7 separate regions of the Mus musculus genome follow, and regions 2, 3, 4, 5, 6 and 7 are each reported to be linked to region 1. Evidence: microRNA targets listed by miRTarBase, many of them from high-throughput screens and not tested one by one. Region 1 holds a microRNA gene; each other region holds the end of a gene's coding sequence.
What was found. Region 1 holds the annotated microRNA mmu-miR-30e-5p (UGUAAACAUCCUUGACUGGAAG, at 1,241-1,262, opposite strand). A microRNA usually pairs through its seed, bases 2 to 8, with sites in the 3' UTR of a target mRNA and lowers its output. Matches are read on the target gene's strand: a 7mer-m8 pairs with bases 2 to 8, a 7mer-A1 pairs with bases 2 to 7 and ends in A, and an 8mer does both.

Region 1 (3,083 bases):
AGTGCTGAGACTGAAAAACAGTGACAGTGAACAAACAGTATCACAGCACAGGGTCATCACTACACTGATGAGCAGCCAGCTCCAGACTAGGGGAAAAAATACATTTGCTTTAGTGGCAGGGTGAACTGCTGCCTCCTTCAGAGGGTGTGTTTTGGAGAGTAGGCACTTTTAAAGGACTTTAGGAGGTGCCAGCCAATTTGGAGCTTGGGAAAACTTCATGTCTACAGAGAATTAAAAAATGCTATCTTAGAATTTCAGGCCAGCTTTCAGCAATCTCAACCTTTTAAATGCCAGGCAGCAGCTGTCCTGAATAGGATGCCAATCAATAGCTCAAACACCTACAAAGAACTAAAACCAGGCAGCTAAAGGAGTGTTCTTGCTGTATACCTTTTAAAGGGAGATGGACTAAGTATAGTGGTCCATGCCTTGAATCCCAGCACTCAGGAGGCAGAAGCAGATAGATCTCTCCGAGTTCCAGAACAACCTGGTCTACACAGTCTAGTCTAGCCAGGGATACACAGGGAGAGCCTATCTCAAAAATCCAAACCAAACCAAAGAACAAAAGAGGGAGATGGGGTAGACCACCAGCAAATCTAACACCCTGACAGACCCAGAAGAACAAACAACTTTGGAGGAAGGTATAGGTCAGCAGCTCTCAACCTGTGGGTTGTGACCCCTTTGTGGGATGGAAAGATCCTTTCACATGGATCACCTAAGACTACTGAAAAACAGATAGTTGCATTAAAATTCATAACAGTAGCAAATTACAGTTATGAAATAGCAATGAAAAAAATTTTATTGTTGGGAGGTTATTACAACATGAGGAACTGTATTAAATGGTGCAGCATTAGGAAGGCTGAGAACCACTGGTATAGGATAATAACTTTCTCTTTAGTCATCTATTCAGCAGGCAGCCCATAGTGAACAATCAGTACAATAAGAGCAATGCCTGACTGCATCACAGATCTTACCACCTTGTCTTTAAAGGAAACTCCTGGTGGATACATGGGAGCAAAAATCCAATAAGGAAAACAGGCTCATGGTATTATCAGCTCCAAACGAAGAGAGACAGTCTGAGTTCTTGTGACTTCTCAGAGAGAAAGGAAGTAACCCAAGAAAAGGAGACAAGTTCATGGGCACAAACCTGCAATGTCTCAAAGCCGATGAGCGCAGCCGGGGACGACTGTGGCAGCCTGCCGCTGTAAACATCCGACTGAAAGCTCCTCTCAACACCTTACAGCTTCCAGTCAAGGATGTTTACAGTAGCAAAGACTGCCCAGAAAAATAAAGAGCTTCAGTGAGGCACAACCTGCTCCCATAAGGAGGTGACCCAGGGCTTGCTAACCCAAAAACCCTCATGCAGGGTCAGAATTAATGTCAATTAGGATGCCCACTTCTCCAACAGGTTTTCTGACTGGTTATTTGTACAGGTCAACATGGGGAGAATGGTTGTCATTAAATGACTCTAAACAGTATACTACAAAATAATTAGTTAAAAACACTTATATTTTATGAACAAAAATAAAACAAGCAGGACATGGTATGGCTTTACTTCTCTGAGGCATATTACACTAAACCTAGTGAATCATGCAAACTGCGTGCCTGAAACAATGAGCTCTATAGGACTGGGGTCTATCACAATCACAACTAAGTTATATGCACCCAAGTGCTGAACAAAACAAATGGTGTGATCTTTGGAGATGAACAGGCAGAAGAAGGGCAGACACTTAGTTCTTGTAATTAAAAAGAAAAATGTAAATGGTGGTTCTAAAACTTCACTGGACACCAAAGCATCTAGGGAACTTTAATTATTGATTCCTGGGGTCATGGGGTCATAGGTTCTGACTCAGTGGATGATGGGTAGAGTCATCACACTACAGAGACACAGCATAGAGTAAGAAAATAAAAGCCACTGGCTCCAATCTGATCACTATGCACAAAGAGGTTGTTTCTTAGAATCTGAAAACTGACTGGCTGAAAAAGCTTTTATTTTAGATGAAGAAATCCTGAACTGAGCTTCACCCCACTATCTGTGACTAGTCTTTTTAACTTTGTTCTCTCACTGCAACCCCACCCCAGAGGCACTGAGTTAAAAGTACCCATAAATGAGTAGAAGGAGATGCTGAGGATGATCTGGACTACGGAAGAGAACCACAAACAAGAAATGCTTTGGGTGGGAGGGAGGGAGGAGCTCCGGAGAGCATCTTGCCCAGGCCCTGGAGGTGGCAGCTGAGCAAATCCTCCCAGCTCACCTGGCGCTTTGGAGGTTTCAGTTCATCTCTTGGAACAATATCGATGAGAAAGTCGAACTGATCAAATTTTGTAATTGCCATGGCAATATCATTCCTCTGTAACAAAGAAAAACAAAGTTAAAAACTGGCCTAGGAAGAATCTAGTTCTTTTGGCTGTTATCCTTCAAGTAAAAGGACATGATCCTCTCCTATCCCCTAGTCCCAGTGTCTGGGATTAAACCTAGAGCTTTACACAAGCTAGACAGGTATTCTACCATTGAGCTATGCCCCAGCCCAAGGAGATGACTTTTAGACTGTACTAAAAATCTCTAGGTTTGTCTAGAGCTAAAAATAAGAACAGCTCAATTTATATCAGACTTGCTGGACAGAAATCAACGAAAGAGATACACATATCTCGTGCTCTAGGCCAGGACATCTGAGCCCTACTCACCACTATTTCTGCTTGTTCTGGTTTCAAAGCTTCCATAAAGTTGTAAAACCACCATCCTCTGGCTAATTCAGGACAAAGCCAGCAGTCTCAACTGGCATTCTGTGGTCCACAAGGTCAGCCCATCATTCACTTGTATGATCTTTTTAAAGGCCCTAAGCACTGTTTGTTGTTGTTGTTGTTGTTTTTCTTTTTACAGGCACTTATAATCCAGTCGCTTGATTTTTATGTTACCTATGGGTTTTAGTTTAGAAATCAAAACTGCACTGCTTAATGAATAGTTTAATCCGAATTTGAGCCTGAATACTCAAGCCTGAATTTACTATAGGTAGGTAGTGAACACAGAGCTGAAAAGAATGTCACAAGTGGACTTTCTCTTCAAGTCTGATATTATTCCCCTTCCT
Region 2 (3,083 bases), not on the chromosome of region 1:
TCACCCCACCCCCTATCCTGAGCGCCGATGACCTCTTGGGCTCACCTACTCTGCCCGATGGCACCAATAACCCCTTCGCCTTTTCCAGCCAGGAGCTGGCGAGCCTCTTTGCTCCTAGCATGGGGCTGCCTGGGGGAGGCTCCCCCACCACTTTCCTCTTCCGGCCCATGTCCGAATCCCCTCACATGTTTGACTCTCCCCCCAGCCCTCAGGATTCTCTCTCGGACCACGAGGGCTATCTGAGCAGCTCCAGCTCCAGCCACAGTGGCTCAGACTCCCCTACCTTGGACAACTCAAGACGCCTGCCCATTTTCAGCAGACTCTCCATCTCAGATGACTAAGCCAGGGTAGGGAGGGACCCCCCCCCATGCCTCCTTCACCTCTCCACCCCATCTCTTCCCTTCACCTCCCCACCCCCTAACTTTCCCTCAAACCCCACATTGATACATTTAAGCTCAGCCCCTTTCCCAGAACAACCTTGGTATGTTACCCTCCCCCCACATAAGGACAAGTCAATTTGTTGGTAGCTTCTGGCTTGAAACCCTCTCCCTCCATTTCATAGCCCACTTAACCACGCATAACAGAGTTCCATCTTTTGTCAGTAGATGCCTTTTTTTACCCCCCCCCACCCCCCCCGGCTTAAGCCTTAAGTGCCAAATCACAAAAGAAAAAAAGCAGTAACCGTTTACAGAAGCAACTTAGTGCCTTGTAATCTAACTTTGTCACTGTGACTACATTACCTCTTCAACGCCAGGGGGCACCCGTGGGCCTCCCAGAGCCTCTGCCCGTGGGGTTGGGGGTGGGGGTGGGGTGACCCGCAACCAGCAGCTCCCCCAGCTGGCCACACAAGTGCACCTTTCTTTCGGTCTCCCGCACACTCTTCCTCTTCCTTATAGTTACTCACCTCCCTCAGAGAGTTGTTGCTGGACTTGGGGTTTTTTTGGGGGGAGGGGTCTATTTTGACTTTCAAAACCTTTTACTTCCCAGCCCGAACCCCTGTTGACTAATCTTGCCTGGGTTTGTGTAGGTCTCCAGGGACAAAGGTTGAACAAGTTGGACGAAGGTTTTGACATAAGTGGGACTTCGTGATTTAATTTCTTTCTTTCTTTTCTTTTTTTTTTAAGTGGGGAGGAAGGGGAAACTAGATGGACTATGAGAGACTTGATTTTGGTGCTAAAGTTCCCCAATTCATATGTGACATCTTAAAAATGACAACAAATGAGAGAAAAGCTAAAAACAACAAAAAAAAACATGTAAGGGGTGAGCAGTTAATGGTCTGCATTCCACATACAATATCTGTGTAAAACGATTTCCTGTAGAAGTAGCTTTAATGGATTTTGCTCTAGAATACCTTAGGTCTACCTTAGAGCCCCCACACAATGCTTTTTTCCCTGGGTTTAAACTTCATCTAACTTTCAGAAATTGGAGAGCAAAAATGTTGCTTATCACTGCACATCAATATAAAAAAGCTTATTTAACTTATCAAAACGTATTTATTGCCAAACTATGCTTTTTTTGTTAATTTTGTTCATATTTATCGGGATGACAAATCCATAGAATATATTCTTTTATGTTAAATTATGATCTTCATATTAATCTTAAAATTTTGTGACGTGTCTTTCCTTTTTTCCACAGTTTTAATATATTATTCTTCAACAACATTTTTGTAACTTTACACTTTTTTTGGTTATTTTATTTTAAAAAAATGAAAAATTAATTTAAAAAAATGCAAAAAACTGTTGGATTATTTATTTTAGAAATTCTCCCCTTTGTGTTGGACTGCAAATTGAGTTTCTTTCTCCTTAGGCCTTTCACAGGTAGGACTGAGAATGTATGTATAAGTTCTGTGACAGTACAGAAGGAAAACCACCATTTTATGTATAGCTTCTAAAAGGGAAAACAAAAAAAGAGAAAAACCCTTTGAATTCCATGTGCCCATCTCAAGACATTCCGCTCGCAGATTTGTGGTTCTGGATTCCAGGTTGGAGTTTTCCAATGTTGACATAAACAACTGGCGCACACACATAAAGATGAATGTAATTATTATTCCTCTTGCTGGTCACTACCGTCGCTTTCTATTTCTCTTTCTTTGTGTGAATTTATTTAAAAGAAAAAAAAAACTTTTTGTAACGACTATTTGCAGTTTAAAAATCAATAAACCCCGTTTTTCAAGAAATGATTTGTCTATAGGTTTTTCCTTGGTCTGACACTCCTTGGGGCAACGAGGTGGCTGGTCTTTCATCTTTAAAGCTAAACCCATAACTCTGGATGTTGATGCCTTAAGGTCACTCAGCTTGGGTGGGGCGGAGGTATTTTTTATTTTTATTTATTTTATTTATTTTTTTTTTTTTTTTTAGCAAAGGAGCCTGCAGAGAGCAGGTCCAGGGTATCCTTGCTGACCTGTGTGACCTTGGCTACTGTAGGGAGCTGTGACAGGATCATCCAGTCTTCCCACTATGAACTTCCTTTGGGGGATGGTCAGGGTGCTACTGATAAAGTACATAGCCCATGCTGCACTTGCTGGCTTACATTGACTGTGTCAAGGGCTCATAGGTATTGGTCTCATAGGCATTAACCTAGTCAAGGTCCTAGCCTCAGTACACCCCTGAACCGGTATGAGGAAGCACTGCCTGCCTGCAGAGGAGCCACCAGGATGGGAAAGGGCAGTCTGCACCTGGATTTGACTGCAGGGCTGGAAAGGGAAGATGGAGGTTAACATAGACTGTATAGGAAGTCAGTAGTTCCCATCAAGGGAGGTGGTAGGCCAGTTGTGGCGCAAGAGTTGCTGGAGGAGGCTGAGGCAGGAGGATCCTGAGACAGACAGCCAGGATCAGGGAGCCCCTGGAAAGTGATTTTTTTCCCCCTCTCTCTTTGGAATTTTGGATTTTTCAGTTTCTCTGCAGCCCTGGCTGTCCTGGAACTTTCTCTGTAGACCAGGCTGGCCTCAAACTTAAGAGATCCACTTGCCTCTGCCTACTGAGTGCTGGGGTTAAAGGCATGTGTCACCAGGACCCTGCTGGAAAGTGATTCTTTTAAAGGAGTAGGGTCTGGGAGAATTGAGTCCTGGGGAGGGCAGAGATATT
Region 3 (3,083 bases), not on the chromosome of region 1:
AAATATGAAAGTTTTTAAAGTATGTTGTAGGAGATGAATAGCATGATATCAGCCAGACTGTTTCTCCTAGGATGCAAGGTAAACTGTCACTTTCCTCCTAGCTCTCATAAAGATCCCTTTATGGAAATTAGCTGCTGTACAGTGGGGTTTCCTACATGCATCCAGTAGTGTGCTGTTTTTAGTTTATTTACTAGCCTGAAGGCTCTCCATTCTGGAGACATAATGGATTTCAGTGTTTAACAGTTCATGGAAACTAACTTAATGTTAATTTATTAATCTATCTGCTTAAACTTACGTGATTTCTTGATTAACACTCCTTTTGAAACACTTTTCTCCTTTTTCTTTCAGTCTTGGTCTTTGTAATGGGAAAAGAAGGGGTCCATGGAGGCGGATTGAATAAGAAGGCATACTCAATGGCAAAATACTTGAGAGACTCTGGGTTCTAGCTGCTAGGCAGACTGTTAAGTATTAGGGGAAAATTGCTCTTAAATTTTCCTAGCTGTAAGCTTAAGTCTCCTTTGTATCCCTCTGTTGGTGGGGAAAGGTGTCTTTCTTTCTGCCCCTTCCCCTTAAATAATTGTGTTCATTTTTGTTTTGTTTCCTTGTGTACTCCAGCATTGGTTATAGTCATGGGAAAGGAAGGTGTCCACGCAGGCACAATTAACAAGAAAACATATGAACTCGCTTTATACCTGAAGAGGTCTGTAACCAACCTTTATCTGGCATCATAATTGCAGCACAATAATGATTTGCATGATATCTTGAAACTGGGGGAAGGGGGCATGCCAAGTTGGGCATCACTTCGTCTTAGCAGTTAGTGGATTACTGATTACTAAAATAGGTTAATAGTAAGCAAGGTGCCGGTGTACAGTCTCTAACTCGATCAGTGTCTTTTCAGCACTTTGGAGCATTTCCTTGGCTCATCTAGTCTTCCTTTTGTAGCGCATGGTTGGGAGGAAAAAGTGCATGCCTCTGTACGTCACACCTTTCTCACCCCTCCCTACCAACACGAGGTGTTTGGTCTGCTTCCATTCTCTTCTGTGTAGTGCCTGGTTTATTTAACTAATTAATACCTCCTCTGTTGATGAGCTATTGAGAGTTGCAGTGTTTTACTTTTTAATACAGTGACTGCACTTGGGACAGACTATTTGTAGTGTCTATAGGACATGAAGCGTGCAGCTTGGAGAGCAAAGGCACTTCCTCCCACGACCTTACTGCAGTAACCATACCGATCAAATTCCCAGGGACATTCTGTCATTGCAGTAGCTCAGACCTGTCTTTTCTTGCACACCAGCTGTGCTCTTGAGAAAATGTAAAGGCTGCCATTATGGATATTAGGTATCCCAACATAACCATCTGGAGTGTGTCCAGTTTATTTTTCATAGGACCAATTTTTATTTGCAGCTTAGGTTTTTATATGAAGTTGCATTATTGTGGACTTGGCTGTCTTGTGATGTATTTTTTTCATATGTATCCTGTGCCATACTATTGTTAAAATGAACTGTTGCTATTGTGAGATGGATTTCCTTTCGAATGGCACTACCTTAGGGACATTCTAGTATTGCTTCTATTGTTTGGGCATTGTGGATAATGTACAGATTTAAAAACAAATCTTGTTGCTGATTTGTCCATTTCTTTCCCTGCACTTTGTTACATCTGGGATACAGTCTAACTCATCTGACTTAATATGCATTTAAAAAAATGCCATAACTATTAAACACCTTGTTTACAGACAGATGAAATAAATTTATTCCAACCAAATACTCCATTGGACTCCTGTTTTTATTATAAATTTTTGGCTTTGTTGTTATTGTTGATCTTGGAGGGTAGAGGGGAGGTATTTGCTGTGTAGTCCTTGTTGGCCTTTAACTCAAAGTACTCCTGCCTAAGCCTTCAGAGGCAGCTTTAGCTGACAAGGGACTCTGAGGGAAAGACCAAACTCATCTGCAAGCACATGAAAGGCCCTACAAATTTCTTTTCACTAAGCTTTGGCCTACTAAATGTGGCTTTTGTGTCTTCATTTTATGATCATCCTCAGACTTAATGTGAAGAAAAGTAACCTGCTAGGGAATAAATATATCACGTTGGCCTCTCGATGAGAACTCAGTCTCATAAGCACGAGGCCCCACTGGCAAGAAGAGTTTCTGGCAAGAAGACTCCATTATGGAGGGTTCTTCTGGACTGAAGTGTCAGTGACTGTAGATTTGTAGTCTGTGTTGGCAGCCTGATGTCAGCCAGGCAGTCTCATAAAAGACCAGAGGCCATTCCTCAGTCAGCACTCAGGAGACTGATGCTAATGCATTTTCTGGTTTTCAGAGTAATGGGTAGAACACAGCTAAATATTTTAATCTAACAGTCTCTTTAGTAAATAAGTTCAAGACTTTTGAGGCAAACCTTTACTGCAAATTATCCAGCAGAAACCTAGCAGTAGGTGCTCCGGTTATCCTCAGTGAAACTGAGGAGCTGGTAACATGGACATAGCCCCAGGTCACACCTTAGAGGTACAGAGTCCACAGGCCAGGGAGTCAGGGTTTAGAAATAAGCAGTGTGTCTTGTATTTGTTGACCTGCATTACTACCCGTGAGAAAGACTGGGCTAGGGAACAGGAATTAATCTTTTCCATACTTAAAATATACTGCACATAATGAATTTTCCCTTTTCAAGTTGCTAGACAGTAATTTTGAATTAAATTTACATATAAGATGTAAAATATTTAGAAGATAGAAAACTGGGTTTACTTTGGTTCATTAAGAAACCCAAGACTTTACAGAACAGTTAAAACCTGGTATCAGTCTTTGTTAAGAATAAAGATGGACAAATGAAAATTTAGAGATAATGTGATTTGAGGTTTTTGAGCAATTATTCCCATCTGATTTGTAGTAAACCACATTGTGAAACCCTTAACAACTACCAAGAAATTGCGAGAGAGTGATTGTCACGCTGAATAGTAAAAGGTTGTCACTGGTTCTTGCTCACAATTTTAAAAGAAAATATACTTAGGGAAATGTATGTGGGGTGGTATATGTGTGTGTGAGCCTATCATATATATATATTCTTCTGAGAATTTAACATAAGGAAATGGA
Region 4 (3,083 bases), not on the chromosome of region 1:
AGCATATATTATAGAAACTTTTGGTTAAAAGCTTACACAGACTATTATTTTATTACTAGTAAATTGTATTTCTTGCACATCCGTCCCTAGATGAATAACAGGTCAACTGTGGTGCTTTCCTGTGTCTGTTCCCTGGCTGCTTTGCATTTAGAAGCATCCATTCCTTTGAGTCTGTGGTGCTACTGTTGGTGAAATTTTCCAGGTGTTGTTATCTTTAGCTCCTTGCCCTTTTGCTTTTGTCTAGGATAAGCACCATAGTGCTGAGGTTCACTGGCCATGGAGGAGTGACTATTGCCTCTAAGATTCATAGTTTGGATACAGAAAGCCTCAACTGAGTTGTCTTTTCTTTATTTCAGGATTGAATCCAGTGACCTTCCTCTTCTGGCTGCGGTAGCAAGCACCCACTCTCCATACGTTGCTCAGATACTCCTTTAACATGTCTAGAGGCTAACTTTGTTTAAAGTTGAATAGAAACCAAGGAGACAGGCGCTGTATCTGTGGAGCTGTTGCTGTTCTGTGATGTTTGTTTTGTGCATTACGCTTTAGGTGAACGCATCACCCTGCGCTGCGGTCTGTGTAGACCAAATGACTTTTTATTTTTAACTGGACATCTGAGCAGTGGTAGATTTTTCAACTAAGTGAAACTAAATCAAAATAATTGGGGGTATGTAGAGGGGTGGAATTTGCAAAAGCCAAAGTGTAACTTAGAATTTTCTGTGAATATACAGGAATTTCATACAAACTCTATAAAATGTCACAACTCATGAATAGCAATAGTTGTCTCATGATCAAATGTCAGAAATCTTCAATTCACTGATTTTTAATTTTTAATTCTATGGTACAGAAATCTACAAGACCTTGATTTGTTTGTTGTTTTGCAATTCAGATCAACTTATTTCTAGTTATTTAAGTATTTTTTTTATTAAAAACAACTGTTAATTATGAGAAACTCAGAATGAGTGAAGATGTCATGTGCCCATCCCAAGTGTACATATGTATCTATTTTTTTAAAAAAGCAGGGGTAGAAATACAATATTGATAAAAATGCCTTTTTAAAAAAATATTTTTTCATCTAGTATTGTATATAATGTTGAAATACTACCTTCTGATGATTTTTCTGTTTCACGCATTCTAAAATGTATTTAAGCCAATCTTTTTGAGGCTCAAGGTTCTAGATTCCCTAAGGATACTACTTTTTACCATTTGTTTTCTAAGAATAAGCTAATTCTTATCAATATTTACATATTAATTTAATAAATAAAAATTAAGATTAAAAAGTGCACCAAAGCAATGGCAAAAATACTGTATTTTTTAAATATGCTCAGGTGGCCACAAACTTCAGTATCGACCATTATAAACCCATATGAGCAGAATATTTCCTAACAATCCTCAATTTACACTAGTAGAAGTAATATCTTTAAAAACTGTTCTTTCTTTAAGTGTTCCTTTCTTTCAAATGTTGATTGCTTTTCAAAGCTTTCCCCTTATCTGTCATTGTCTTTGTATATAGTGCAGATTGTTGCTTGTAAGAAAGGCTAATAAGGAACCAAACTCTTGTAAGTAATGTAAATAAAAAGGTGGGTAGATCATGTTTTCAATATACTCTACTACCTCAGTTTACTTGAATACTGAATTAGAGCTTACTCTCTGCTTGTGTGGGCTAAGATATACATAATGCTAGAATTAAAGTTGGTTTCTGTTTTCATTGACTAATTCTAAATTGTTTAGCTCAAAAAAAAAAAAGAGAGAAAGAAAGGAAAAAAGAAAGAAAAGAAGAAAGGAAGGAAGAAAGAAAGAAAGAAAGAAAAACATACCCCCCCCCAAAAAAAATCCTACCCACGTGTTCGGTTACTGAATAATTTTATTATAACATATCCATTCTTGCTATTTAAATTTTTCAGTAATTAATGAAAAATTTCTGTGGTTTATAGTCTTCAGAATCTTGAATTTATGTGTCTGGTTACATTTATCTTGCTCTTTATGTGTGTTCAAGAGAATTCCAACTAGAAAAGAATAAATAGAATGTTTTAATGGAACATAAACCCCAAATTTAGGGTATCTACAGTTGGCCTTGGTTCTGTTTGTTGGTTCCAGTTAGTACCTGGGTCTCCCATGGATGACTTGGTGCCAAAGGGTTTTTTTATAGATGTGGAGATTTTGGGGGTTTTTGTTTTGTTTTTGATGTCCTTGTAACCCATTTGTTAGTGGAATTGCTCTGTTGTATTCTGTTGAAATTCAGTGAGTAGATTTCTGTTAGAATTTAGAATCTGGGAAAGCTACGGGCCATTGTACATTATTTTTTGATTGTGGCTCAGAATAATATGTATAGCAGGTAGATAATGTTTTGGGATGTTTTCTTGAACATGGAACTTTTCATAGTTCTATTTGAAATCTGTCATTACTTAGAAATTCTAGTCTTTAATAAGTGAATGGCTTGTGCACCTAATATTCTCAAAACTCAGCTTTGCTGGAAAGGTCTATAGTTTCTTAAAAACTCGCTAGTCCTTATAGGATTCCTGAGTTTGTAATACTTTTATCATCATATTCTTTACTTACTCAAAGCCCAAGGAATGAGCTGCTACTTCACTACAGTGTGGCTGTGATAAATGTGAAAAGAGTTTTGGCCTGTTTAAAATAATTTTTCAACTACTTAATGGTACAGACAAATATGTGCTGCATAATAAAAATACCTGTTTATTGTTACAGGAAATTAAAAAGGGATCTTTTATATTATAGGATTAAAACTAATTTTCTGTATATGTTAACTAATTGATTTAATTTTAAGTATCTTGCATTTATTAATATGTCTTAATTTTGAATTTGAAAACATGAAGTGCAATAAACATACTACTACAGATTTCATTTTGTTGCAATTGGCACGCAGTGCAGATGATCACTAACAGTTTGCATAATGCCTCCATCGGTAGCTGTCCTCTGAGAATGTTCTGCTTTCTCTTGAGTTATTTAGATGACGAATATATACAATGTACATACTTGTTTGTTGTTCTGAATACATTTCTCAAATGTACACCTGTATTATAATAACCTCCCAGTTCTAGGGGAAATTTGTGCAATAAACACTC
Region 5 (3,083 bases), not on the chromosome of region 1:
CAAGCATGTAACTGACTAAAGTAAGCTCACATTCCTGAACCATTAAAAAAGCCTCGTGGGAGCTAAAACACTAACTGAAGCTTCTAGTTAGACTATATAAGGAAAAAGACAACTACTCACTCTTATTTTGTCAGAATTGACCTTCATGACTGAAATGAGGGCCTCACATGAAATAATGGCTTCACATTTACAGTTAGATCAAAGAACCAAGCTTGACAGATACAATGCACACAGTGATATGCTGTATGCTTAAGCAAAAGACTGCTTTTAAATGCATGTTAAATGTCCCTCCCAAAAGATGGCAAATAAGAAGTAATAACTACCTAGGTGAATCACTGTATGGATATATATTTTGTAAACAAAATTGCCCACTGAAAAAGCTTTTAAAGCAAGCAGGCATTTATCTTTAATCCCAAAACGTTTGAAAAGACAGGTGGATATCAGATTTTATAGCCAGCCTGTTCTAGAGTTGTGTTAGACCATGTCTCAAAAATAAAACAAACTACTCAACACTTCTGCTCTGGCTACCTTTAAACTGCTGGCAATCCTTTGCCTCAGGACTTTGTGTTGGGATTAGAAATGATAACCACCAGGAGAAGCTAACACACAAAATATACAGCTTCTCAATAGATGGACTTTTAAGAAAAGCCATGACTAATGAAACCTGAAGACAGTTAATCCTTAAAACATTAAGTATGAATATCTACTCATCATTTTTGAGATATTCTTAAATTCTTTTTCATTAGCAATGAAAAAAACTTCTATGGGAACATGAACCTGCTGTCCAAGTCTAATCAGAGATCAGAATTATAAAAGATGTAGTCAGTTGGTATACAGCACAAAAGTGTGCAATGCAGTGTGTTCAATGTGATTTACAACCCCATTTTACCATCAAGAAAGAACTTTAATATTGCCTACTAGTTTTGTAGAACTATTAATTTTTAAAAAACAAACATTTCTGATGATTGCTTCTAATCAAAGTATTTGGTGGTTAAGGACTTGGAAGAGAGCAGACATTATACAATGTGCAACTAACTACCTGATGGAATAAAATACCTCAGTGGGGTCACCAAAACAGAAAGTTGTGAAAGTGAGGTGGAGACTCGTGAGGAAAATGGGCAGGTGGACAAGAGGGAGGGAGAGGGATGAATAGAATGTATCTTATAAATGTATAAAATTACTAATAGGAAATGAATGACACGACCTAACATCACCAAATACTCTTTCAGACCCATCACTCCTCCATTTAATGACTGCAGTCTTTAATGCTGACATTGGTAAACAGAATTTACGTGTATAGGAAGATATGCCAAAGTTATACAATACTGAAGCTCCTGTGTTCTCTGCAGCCTTACTTAAAACACAAACCCATGTACTGACTTTGTAACTCTTAAGTTCAATACTGTAAAAAAGAAAACTGCCAAAATTCAGTCCCAAAGTTTAGACAGTCAATTCATACAGACCGAACTTCAGGTTCAAATCAAGAAATTAAATGCAAAAAGGAAAAAAGAAACCACTTTTATCAGCTTCTTGTTATGTGGTTAGAGGATTGTTACAAAGAAGGATTGCCAGAAATGTGAAAAAACAGTCTAAGAAAAGAGAAAACTATATTTAAAAAAATTCAAACACAGAAGATGAAAAAAAAAACCCTAAAATATGGATCCAAAATATCAGATGTATAAATACAAACTAAATTACCAACATAATGCCACTCCATGGGATTTTATATAGGAGAGAATATATTGTCATACTTATGCAATCAGACAAGGAAATACAGCAAGTTAGTGTCAATCTTTATCAATTTATTTCATACAAAACAGTAGCAATGTAGAATGTGGGGTTATCTTCTGCTGCCACACACGCGAAACTGTGAACATTCCAAGCCAGTGTACAGTTTAAAAGGGAGGCTAAACAATAGCATTAACCATGCTACTGAACACAGGAACTTTTTATTTAAAAAGATTAAAAATTAGATAGCAACGTCTTCTTAATATTGCTCTCATCATTGAAGACTTAAAAGTGACTTTATAGGTTTAAAAAAAAGGAGGAAAGAGGAAAAACCGAGAGGCTGCTACAACACTGCCATATAGTCAAACCATCATACTTCCATATTTGCATACTTGATAGCAGCAGTATTTTTACTGAACCGTGAGCAGCTACCTATAGAAACACAAAGCGAAATTCTATGGCAGTTATTGACCAAGGTCCAAAAGGAGAACAAACAAACAAAATAACTCTAGGATGAATACACTGTAAAAAGAACATTTATGGAGAATGAATCAATATCTACATTCTTGGACTGTTCCATTCTGCCCCAATAAAAGAGTCAACCCAACTGTCAACTGTGCATTTTTTTGGCGGATCTGAGTTTTCCAGTTCTTATTCTACTGCATGCTTGGAACAAAGGTGATAATAAATCCTTCTACACAATGAGCTTTAAGTCGACAGCTGAAAATAAATTTACTACTTGTAAACACACACAAAAAAAATACAATATTTTCTTTATCTTCAGTCAGTGCTTCCAAAAGCACATTATCTTCGATAACGACCTCTCTCCCCTCGGTCTCTGTCCCGATCACATATTCTTTCTCTCTCTCTTTCTCGATCACGACCTCTGTCTCGCTCTCTATCTCTTCTGTTATCTCTGGGGCGGTCTCGCTCTCGCTCCCGATCTCTTTCTCGAGGTCTACTTCTCCGACCACTGACCACAGCTTGCGTGCGGCGAAGGAAATCATCGACCCTCATATCATAGTCATGCTAGGAAAAAGGAGAAAACAGATCAGCAAAGCAAAACTTTATATGAAAGTTAAAAACCCTTTTATCAGTTGTCTGGTAAAGAAGAAATCAGAAAACGCAACCATGAAGTCATGGATGGAACTTAATGGTGATATACACTACCAGCACTAACTAGAGCACCATGTATTCCTGTAATTTCCTATTCCACTTGTAGAGACTTTCCATTTGATTCCTTAGTAAGATATAATAAACAACTCAGTCATAACTATCCTTGTTCACTCACTCCATCCCTACAACCTATATACTAGCAAATACACTAAATACCATCCTTTGTGCAACACACCCTT
Region 6 (3,083 bases), not on the chromosome of region 1:
CATGCAGACAACACAGTAGCAGAGGGCTGACAGCTGTACACCACCCCACCCCCACCCCCTTGCTGGCGATCCCTCGGATCACGTGACTCTTCTCCTTTCTGTAGGTGTGTGTTGGGAAACACTACCATCCTGGCCGAGTTTGCCACTGAGGATGAAGTCAGCCGCTTTCTGGCTCAAGCTCAGCCCCCTACGCCTGCAGCCACCCCGAGTGCACCTGCCACAGGGTGGCAGTCCCTGGAGACCAGCCAGAACCAAGCAGACCCCGTTGGACCTGCGCTGAACCTTTTCGGTGGGTCCACCGGGCTCGGGCAGTGGAGCAGCAGCGCTGGTGGCAGCAGTGGGGCCGATCTTGCCGGCACTTCCTTGTGGGGCCCCCCAAACTATTCTTCTAGCTTGTGGGGAGTCCCGACGGTGGAAGATCCCCATAGGATGGGCAGCCCTGCTCCTTTACTACCTGGTGACCTTCTGGGAGGAGGGTCGGATTCAATCTGAACTTAAACTTTCAACTCTGACCTCGTGACCTTTTTTGGAACAGCAGCAGCACTAACTTGACCTTTTCGTTTTTTTTTTCAACTTGCAATAAATACATTTTTAAAAGGAAAAAAGAAAACGGAGAGAGAAAAAAGGTGGGTCATTGACAGACTGTCTGAGCACATAGTTGCCTCCCTTAAAACTTCAGTTTTTTCGTTTGGAATATGAATCCAAAAAGAGAACATATCACTCTTGAAATACTTGAATCATGAACGCCAACCTAGAAAGACAATGTGAAGCAAGTACACATACCATTTAAATTTAAACACAAAAAAATTAAAAAAATTAGTTTCTAGTTTTTCACTTTTTTCATGTTATATGGAAGTTGTTGCTAAGAAACATATATACTGAAAAAATAGCTTTTTAACTTTGTTTGCACTGGGTGTGTTTCCGTCCTTAGGTCTACCATGTTTGGGTGGGAGGGAAATTCAAAAGAATTGTTGGGGGAGGGGGGAGGGAAGACTTGACGGAGCCTCACTTTAAAAACAAAAACAAAAAAACTTAAAAAAAAAAAAAAGGTAAAATTTTGTGATTGGCTGGTTGATAAATACCAGTGTGTTCTGGCACATGTAACTGCCCAGGCATGCTCGTTCTGGTATGTGTGTGCACGTGTGTTCATGTGCATTTGCGTGCATCCTCCTCTCTGTCTCTCTTCGTGTGCCTGCGTCCTGCCCTCCTCGTCCTGCCTCGCCCCGCCCCACCCCCACCCTGATTTCTCAGAAAGCTGCATTGCTGACAGTTCCAAAGGCTGGCTGGCCGGCCATCCGCTTTTCATTATTTCTGACTATGAGAACACAGGAGCACAGGGAGCCGCTGCAACTCAAGCCACTTCTTCTGGCTGCCTCGAGATGAAGGGTGCTTTTCAGTGACAGAGCAGCAGCCAGAATGCGGGGGGGGGGGGGGGGGGGGGGGGGCGGGGAGGTCCCCAGCTTCTGTCGACCCAGCTGCAGAGCAGAGCACTGCCAAGGCCAGAGGTGTGACAGAAGGCCCCTCCCTCCAAGAAGCTGCTGCTCACCTCTGTGCTGTGAAGTAAGCAGCTGCCTGCCCGGCAGCAGGAGTCTAAGGACTGAGCTGGCCAGTTGGCTACTTTGAGTGAGAACAGACGATTCAATAATTTTTAAATCGTGTGATGTTTTAAAAGCTGAAAAACAGTTCCCACTTTGCTGTGCTCGTCGGGTGTGAGAATTTTTTGAAAGGATTCAGGTAATGCAAATTCAATTACTTCTATCAGTTCTCATTATCATGTGAGGAAGACAGTAAGTTATGAGCAGCCTCCTGGAAGCATCGCAGCGCCTCCCTCTCTGCTCCCCTCTCTCTCTCTCTCGCTGAGCATTACCTGTGCCAGGCCGTGGCGTGTTACAGCACCAGGCCATCACTGACAGAAACGTTTACTTAACGAATGTTCTTAAACCAGTGTGTACTTCAAGTGTCTCCCTTTGTTTCTCTGTGTTGTTTCCTGTGTATGTGGTTTTGCTTAGGCAGAAATAACTTAGCAAAGTATTGCACCTTGTTTTGGTTTTGACCTCTTTTTTTTTTTTTTCTTTCCTTGTAATGTTGGTTTTTTTATTTTGGTATTTAAAGACTTTTTTAAAAAAACATCAATGTAGTAGTTCTCTGGGCCGAACAGGAGGCAATGTTTAATCCACAGTTATCACCAATACGTATGTACTATGTTGGAATCAAAATATATCAAATTTCTTATTGTGAAGAGAGTGAAAGTAAACCCGAAGGGGATCCTCACGTGCTAAATAGATGGCGGGCGGGCGGGCGGGCGGGCGGGCGGGCGGGCGTGATGTGTGCGGGGAACATGCTAGCACTTGTGTGATATCCCAGTCTGCATCGTACTGTCTGTTCAACATGAAGTGCCGACATTCTGTACCAGCAATTACCTGCCCATTCCAACCCCTGACGGGAGCAGACCTCTGCTGTCCTCTGTGACTTGCTGCTATTGAGGACAAGGGAGTTTTTCTTTCTTTAGCATCTTCAGTGAAGGATACAACAATGCCTAATGTATTTAACTTTCAGCTTGTGTCTTTGGTGTAGGTGGGTAGAGGGGTATGGATAGGAAAAAGCAAACAGACAAACAAAAAACCCAAAATTGCATGTAAGTGGCTTTGTAAGACAGTGAGTGGGAAATTCTGTAGTCGTCTTGGCTTACCTTGTTGGGTATAAACCTAGCTTCAGAGGAGGCTGACGGGGCACCATTCCCATGAGCACCTGTGCTTAACAATCTGGGCGCCCTTGGCAGGTGGGTAGGCAAATGAGCGTGCAGTTCTGGTTTGTTCCTGCAACACCTTGTTCTCATGGACTCTGCCTTCCTCCTGCTCTCTGGTTTCCATCACCACCACCCCCTCTCACCTCTGCCCTGCAAAATGTCTCCTTCCAGCCCCACTGACTCTCAGTGTTGGAGCAGAGCTCTGTCGCAGGTGATGACGTCCAGGTGAAGCGCCGCTTATATTCAGACATCTGCAGACTGAAGGCTGAACTTTAGTGTCCCCAGACTCCTGGGAGCCTGTGGGGACTGTCCACTGCCGCTCTTGGTTCATGGCCCT
Region 7 (3,081 bases), not on the chromosome of region 1:
AGCACCTGTGTGCCAACCTGATGCAGCTGCTGCAGGAGAGCCTGTCCCAGGCGCGATTGGGCTCGCGGCGCCCTGCGCGTTTGCTCATGCCGAGCCAGCTGGTGAGCCAGGTGGGCAAGGAACTCCTGCGCCTGGCATACAGTGAGCCGTGCGGCCTGCGGGGGGCACTGCTGGACGTGTGTGTGGAGCAAGGCAAGAGCTGCCATAGCGTGGCTCAGCTGGCCCTCGACCCCAGCCTGGTGCCCACCTTTCAGTTGACCCTGGTGCTGCGTCTGGACTCTCGCCTCTGGCCCAAGATCCAGGGGCTGTTAAGTTCTGCCAACTCTTCCTTGGTCCCTGGTTACAGCCAGTCCCTGACGCTAAGTACCGGCTTCAGAGTCATCAAGAAGAAACTCTACAGCTCCGAGCAGCTGCTCATTGAAGAGTGTTGAACTACATCCTGGGGTGGGGTGCGGGGAGGGTTTCTCACTGCCCCCCAAAGTGAAGACAAGGAATTTCTGTGGTGGAGACCCGCAGGCAAGGACTGAAGGACTGTCCCCTGTGTTAGAAAACTGACGATAGCCACCTGAGGGGCGCAGGGCCAGGTGGGGGAAGGAAGTGTTCTCCAGGAAGTCTCTAGGTTGTATGCAGGTGGCTCCCTGTTGGGGCACACGCCCCTCAGTACTGTAGCATGAAACAAAGGCTTAGGAGTCACACAGGCTTCTGGCTGGATGTGTATGTAGCATGTACCTTATTTTTTTTTATTACTGACAAGTTACAACAGCAGTTGTGGGCCAGAGCCAGAAGGGCAGCTGGTCTGCACTGGCCTCTGCCCCGGCTGGGGGTTGGGGGCTGGGGGGGAGGCAGGGGGAGGTGGCCGACAGTTTGTGTATCTTCTGGTCTGAAAGGACCTAGTGTGTTTTGTCATTTGTTTTGTATCTTGGTTTTGGGGGGTGGGGATCGGCGCTTCACTACTGACCTGTTCGAGGCAGCTATCTTACAGACTGCATGAATGTAAGAGTAGGAATGGGGTGGGTGTTAGGATCATTCGGGATCTTCGACACTTGAAACAAAATTACACCTGGGAGCTGCAGCCAGCCCATCCCGGTGCCCATGTACTGGAGGATTCAACTGTGAGGAGAGGGGCTGGGGTGGGGGTGGGGGGCTGGAACCCTCTTTTCCCAGAGGAGTGCCACCTGGGTCTTCCATCTAGAACCTGTTTACATGAAGTTACTCGCGGTTCATGAATACACTTGATGTTCAAGTATTAAGACCTATGCAATATTTTTACTTTTCTAATAAACATGTTTGTTAAAACACTTGAGTCTCATCGGCGCCATAAATGAAAAGGGAGAGTGGTGGGTGCTGGTCACAAGTTTCATCAGATTTCAGGGGCCACTTGTGTGTCCCCTGACTGCCTGGTAACTGCCATCAGAGCTCCTGGACTGCCTGGCAACCTGGGAACTGTGCCATCAGAGCCAAGGTCCCTCAGTTCTGCTGAGTGGAGCTACCAGGAGAATGTGCTGGAAAGCACCCGAAGGTGAAAGATGAGTCAGACCTCCCTGGAAGTCTGAGTCTCTACAAGGAGGGTTACCTTGCTCTCCAGGTGAGAAGGCCCAGTCTCCTTAGCCTAAGGCCTTTTCTCTGAGGAAAAGTCTAGACTGATGTGGTACATAGTCAAGGGTATGGTTTTATCTCTGGGTATAAAAAAAGGTTAAGAGACCTTTGCAAAAGACAATTCAGTTTAAACCTCTCCCTAGGCAAGAAACCTAGGCTCAGGAGATGTGGCCCAGGCAGGAGCAGAGACCATACAAAGGCAGGGGGATGACGAGGGTGACCCCTGACTTCCTTCCCAGACAGAAGGCTGGAGTTGGGTTTCTTATCAGAAATGTTGGAGTTGAGCCAAGAAGGCCAAGGCCTTTCTCACTTGTCCCCGACTCCAGAGTCCACCCACACCAAGTGGCCCTTGGAGAATGACTGTCTCCTTTGTTTCTCTTCCTGATCCCAGACTGCCTTTGTGTGCCCCAAGACTGTAAAAAAACGGTTCTTGGTTTTGCATCCTTTTGGAGGGCTTAGTTAGAACAGTTCCCTCAGGCTGGGGATGTAGCTCAGTGTAAAGTACTTGCCTGACAAGTAAAAGACCCTAGACTTATCTCCACATCTCCCACCAACCACAAAGGAAAGCCAGATCCTTCCAGTGAGCTGAAAGCAGAGACTAAAAACATCTGGTTTTCCTCGGGGATTCTATCCAGGACCTGACCTTTGGGGTAGCCCAGGAGACCCACATCTCTTTCATAGAATCCTCAGAGCTTATTCCCCAAAATGAGTAAACCTGAGTTAGAAGCCAGGTGTGACAGTCAATGTACAACCGGAATCCCAGTACTTGAGAGGCGAAGGCAGGGGGATTGCCATGAATCCAACCTATATAGTGAGCTTGAAGCTAGCCTGGGCTGTAGAGTCAACTCCAGACTTGCCTGGACTAGTCTAGATGAGTTTGAGACCAGCTATAATAACATAGATTCTACTTCTCTCAAAAATAAAGTAAAATAAAATAAAGCAAGGGAAGGAGGGTGGGAGGGAGGATACAGACAGCCTCACCTATCTTAGGGTCCCTCTTAGTAACCATCCTAAGAGGGGTAGGTTGGGCAGGGGTGTTCTGTAATGTCTTTGGGCATGGAGAATGACCATCTCTTCAGACAAAGGCTGACCCATGCTCACTCAACCTGAGGGTGCAGCCCACCCCCACCCCCCTTTAGCTGACAGATGCTGTTCATAAAACTGAGACTATGACATTGCTTGCTCCTCTGTGTTCCTAACCCCAAGCAAAAGCCAGGAAAGCCACAGCCAGCCCTTCCCCTGCCTTGGTATCTCCAGGTCTGAGTGGGTCCTTCCATTTCAAAGCTGGTCAGATGGAGGTAGGAGGAAGGACTGCTTTCTTAGAACCAGTGTGACCCAGAAGCCTAAAAGCCGGCTCAGCACCAGACTCTACTCTCTCAAGTAACCTCTGCCAGGGACATGGGCCTCTCTGCCTTTCCTTTAAAACCCAGAGAAAAGTATCAGCCTTCTAGGTCTCTCCTCTGCCTCCCCCCCCCTGCATCCTTC

Region 2: miRTarBase lists Zfp36l1 as a target of mmu-miR-30e-5p. Seed matches in the 3' UTR shown: 7mer-A1 at 684-690.
Region 3: the mRNA of Pfn2 is a reported target of mmu-miR-30e-5p. Seed matches in the 3' UTR shown: 8mer at 1,724-1,731.
Region 4: the mRNA of Fnip1 is a reported target of mmu-miR-30e-5p. The part of its 3' UTR that is shown has no 7-base or 8-base seed match.
Region 5: miRTarBase lists Ythdc1 as a target of mmu-miR-30e-5p. Seed matches in the 3' UTR shown: 8mer at 2,469-2,476.
Region 6: the mRNA of Tnrc6b is a reported target of mmu-miR-30e-5p. The part of its 3' UTR that is shown has no 7-base or 8-base seed match.
Region 7: the mRNA of Ddit4 is a reported target of mmu-miR-30e-5p. Seed matches in the 3' UTR shown: 8mer at 1,197-1,204.

The regions. Positions count from the first base shown.
Region 1 is chr4:120,771,420-120,774,502 of GRCm38, forward strand. Mir30e (microRNA 30e) reads right to left here and starts at 1,278; the gene lies at 1,187-1,278. Nfyc (nuclear transcription factor-Y gamma) reads right to left here. Exons shown (of 10, transcript NM_008692.4): 5 at 2,253-2,348. It overlaps Mir30f (microRNA 30f), which reads left to right and starts at 1,187; the gene lies at 1,187-1,278.
Region 2 is chr12:80,106,847-80,109,929 of GRCm38, reverse strand. Zfp36l1 (zinc finger protein 36, C3H type-like 1) reads left to right here. Exons shown (of 2, transcript NM_007564.5): 2 at 1-2,170. The coding sequence ends at 341. Among named protein-coding and RNA genes, the nearest start is that of Zfp36l1, 4.6 kb to the left of the region's middle.
Region 3 is chr3:57,840,580-57,843,662 of GRCm38, reverse strand. Pfn2 (profilin 2) reads left to right here. Exons shown (of 3, transcript NM_019410.3): 3 at 349-1,768. The coding sequence ends at 446. Among named protein-coding and RNA genes, the nearest start is that of Pfn2, 5.6 kb to the left of the region's middle.
Region 4 is chr11:54,515,142-54,518,224 of GRCm38, forward strand. It overlaps Fnip1 (folliculin interacting protein 1), which reads left to right. Exons shown (of 18, transcript NM_173753.4): 18 at 357-3,083. The coding sequence ends at 435. Among named protein-coding and RNA genes, the nearest start is that of Rapgef6, 6.2 kb to the right of the region's middle.
Region 5 is chr5:86,835,358-86,838,440 of GRCm38, reverse strand. Ythdc1 (YTH domain containing 1) reads right to left here. Exons shown (of 17, transcript NM_001347375.1): 17 at 1,782-2,757. The coding sequence ends at 2,533. Among named protein-coding and RNA genes, the nearest start is that of Ythdc1, 33 kb to the right of the region's middle.
Region 6 is chr15:80,928,985-80,932,067 of GRCm38, forward strand. It overlaps Tnrc6b (trinucleotide repeat containing 6b), which reads left to right. Exons shown (of 25, transcript NM_144812.3): 25 at 105-3,083. The coding sequence ends at 492. Among named protein-coding and RNA genes, the nearest start is that of Mir5113, 9.5 kb to the right of the region's middle.
Region 7 is chr10:59,947,886-59,950,966 of GRCm38, reverse strand. Ddit4 (DNA-damage-inducible transcript 4) reads left to right here. Exons shown (of 3, transcript NM_029083.2): 3 at 1-1,292. The coding sequence ends at 431. Among named protein-coding and RNA genes, the nearest start is that of Ddit4, 2.3 kb to the left of the region's middle.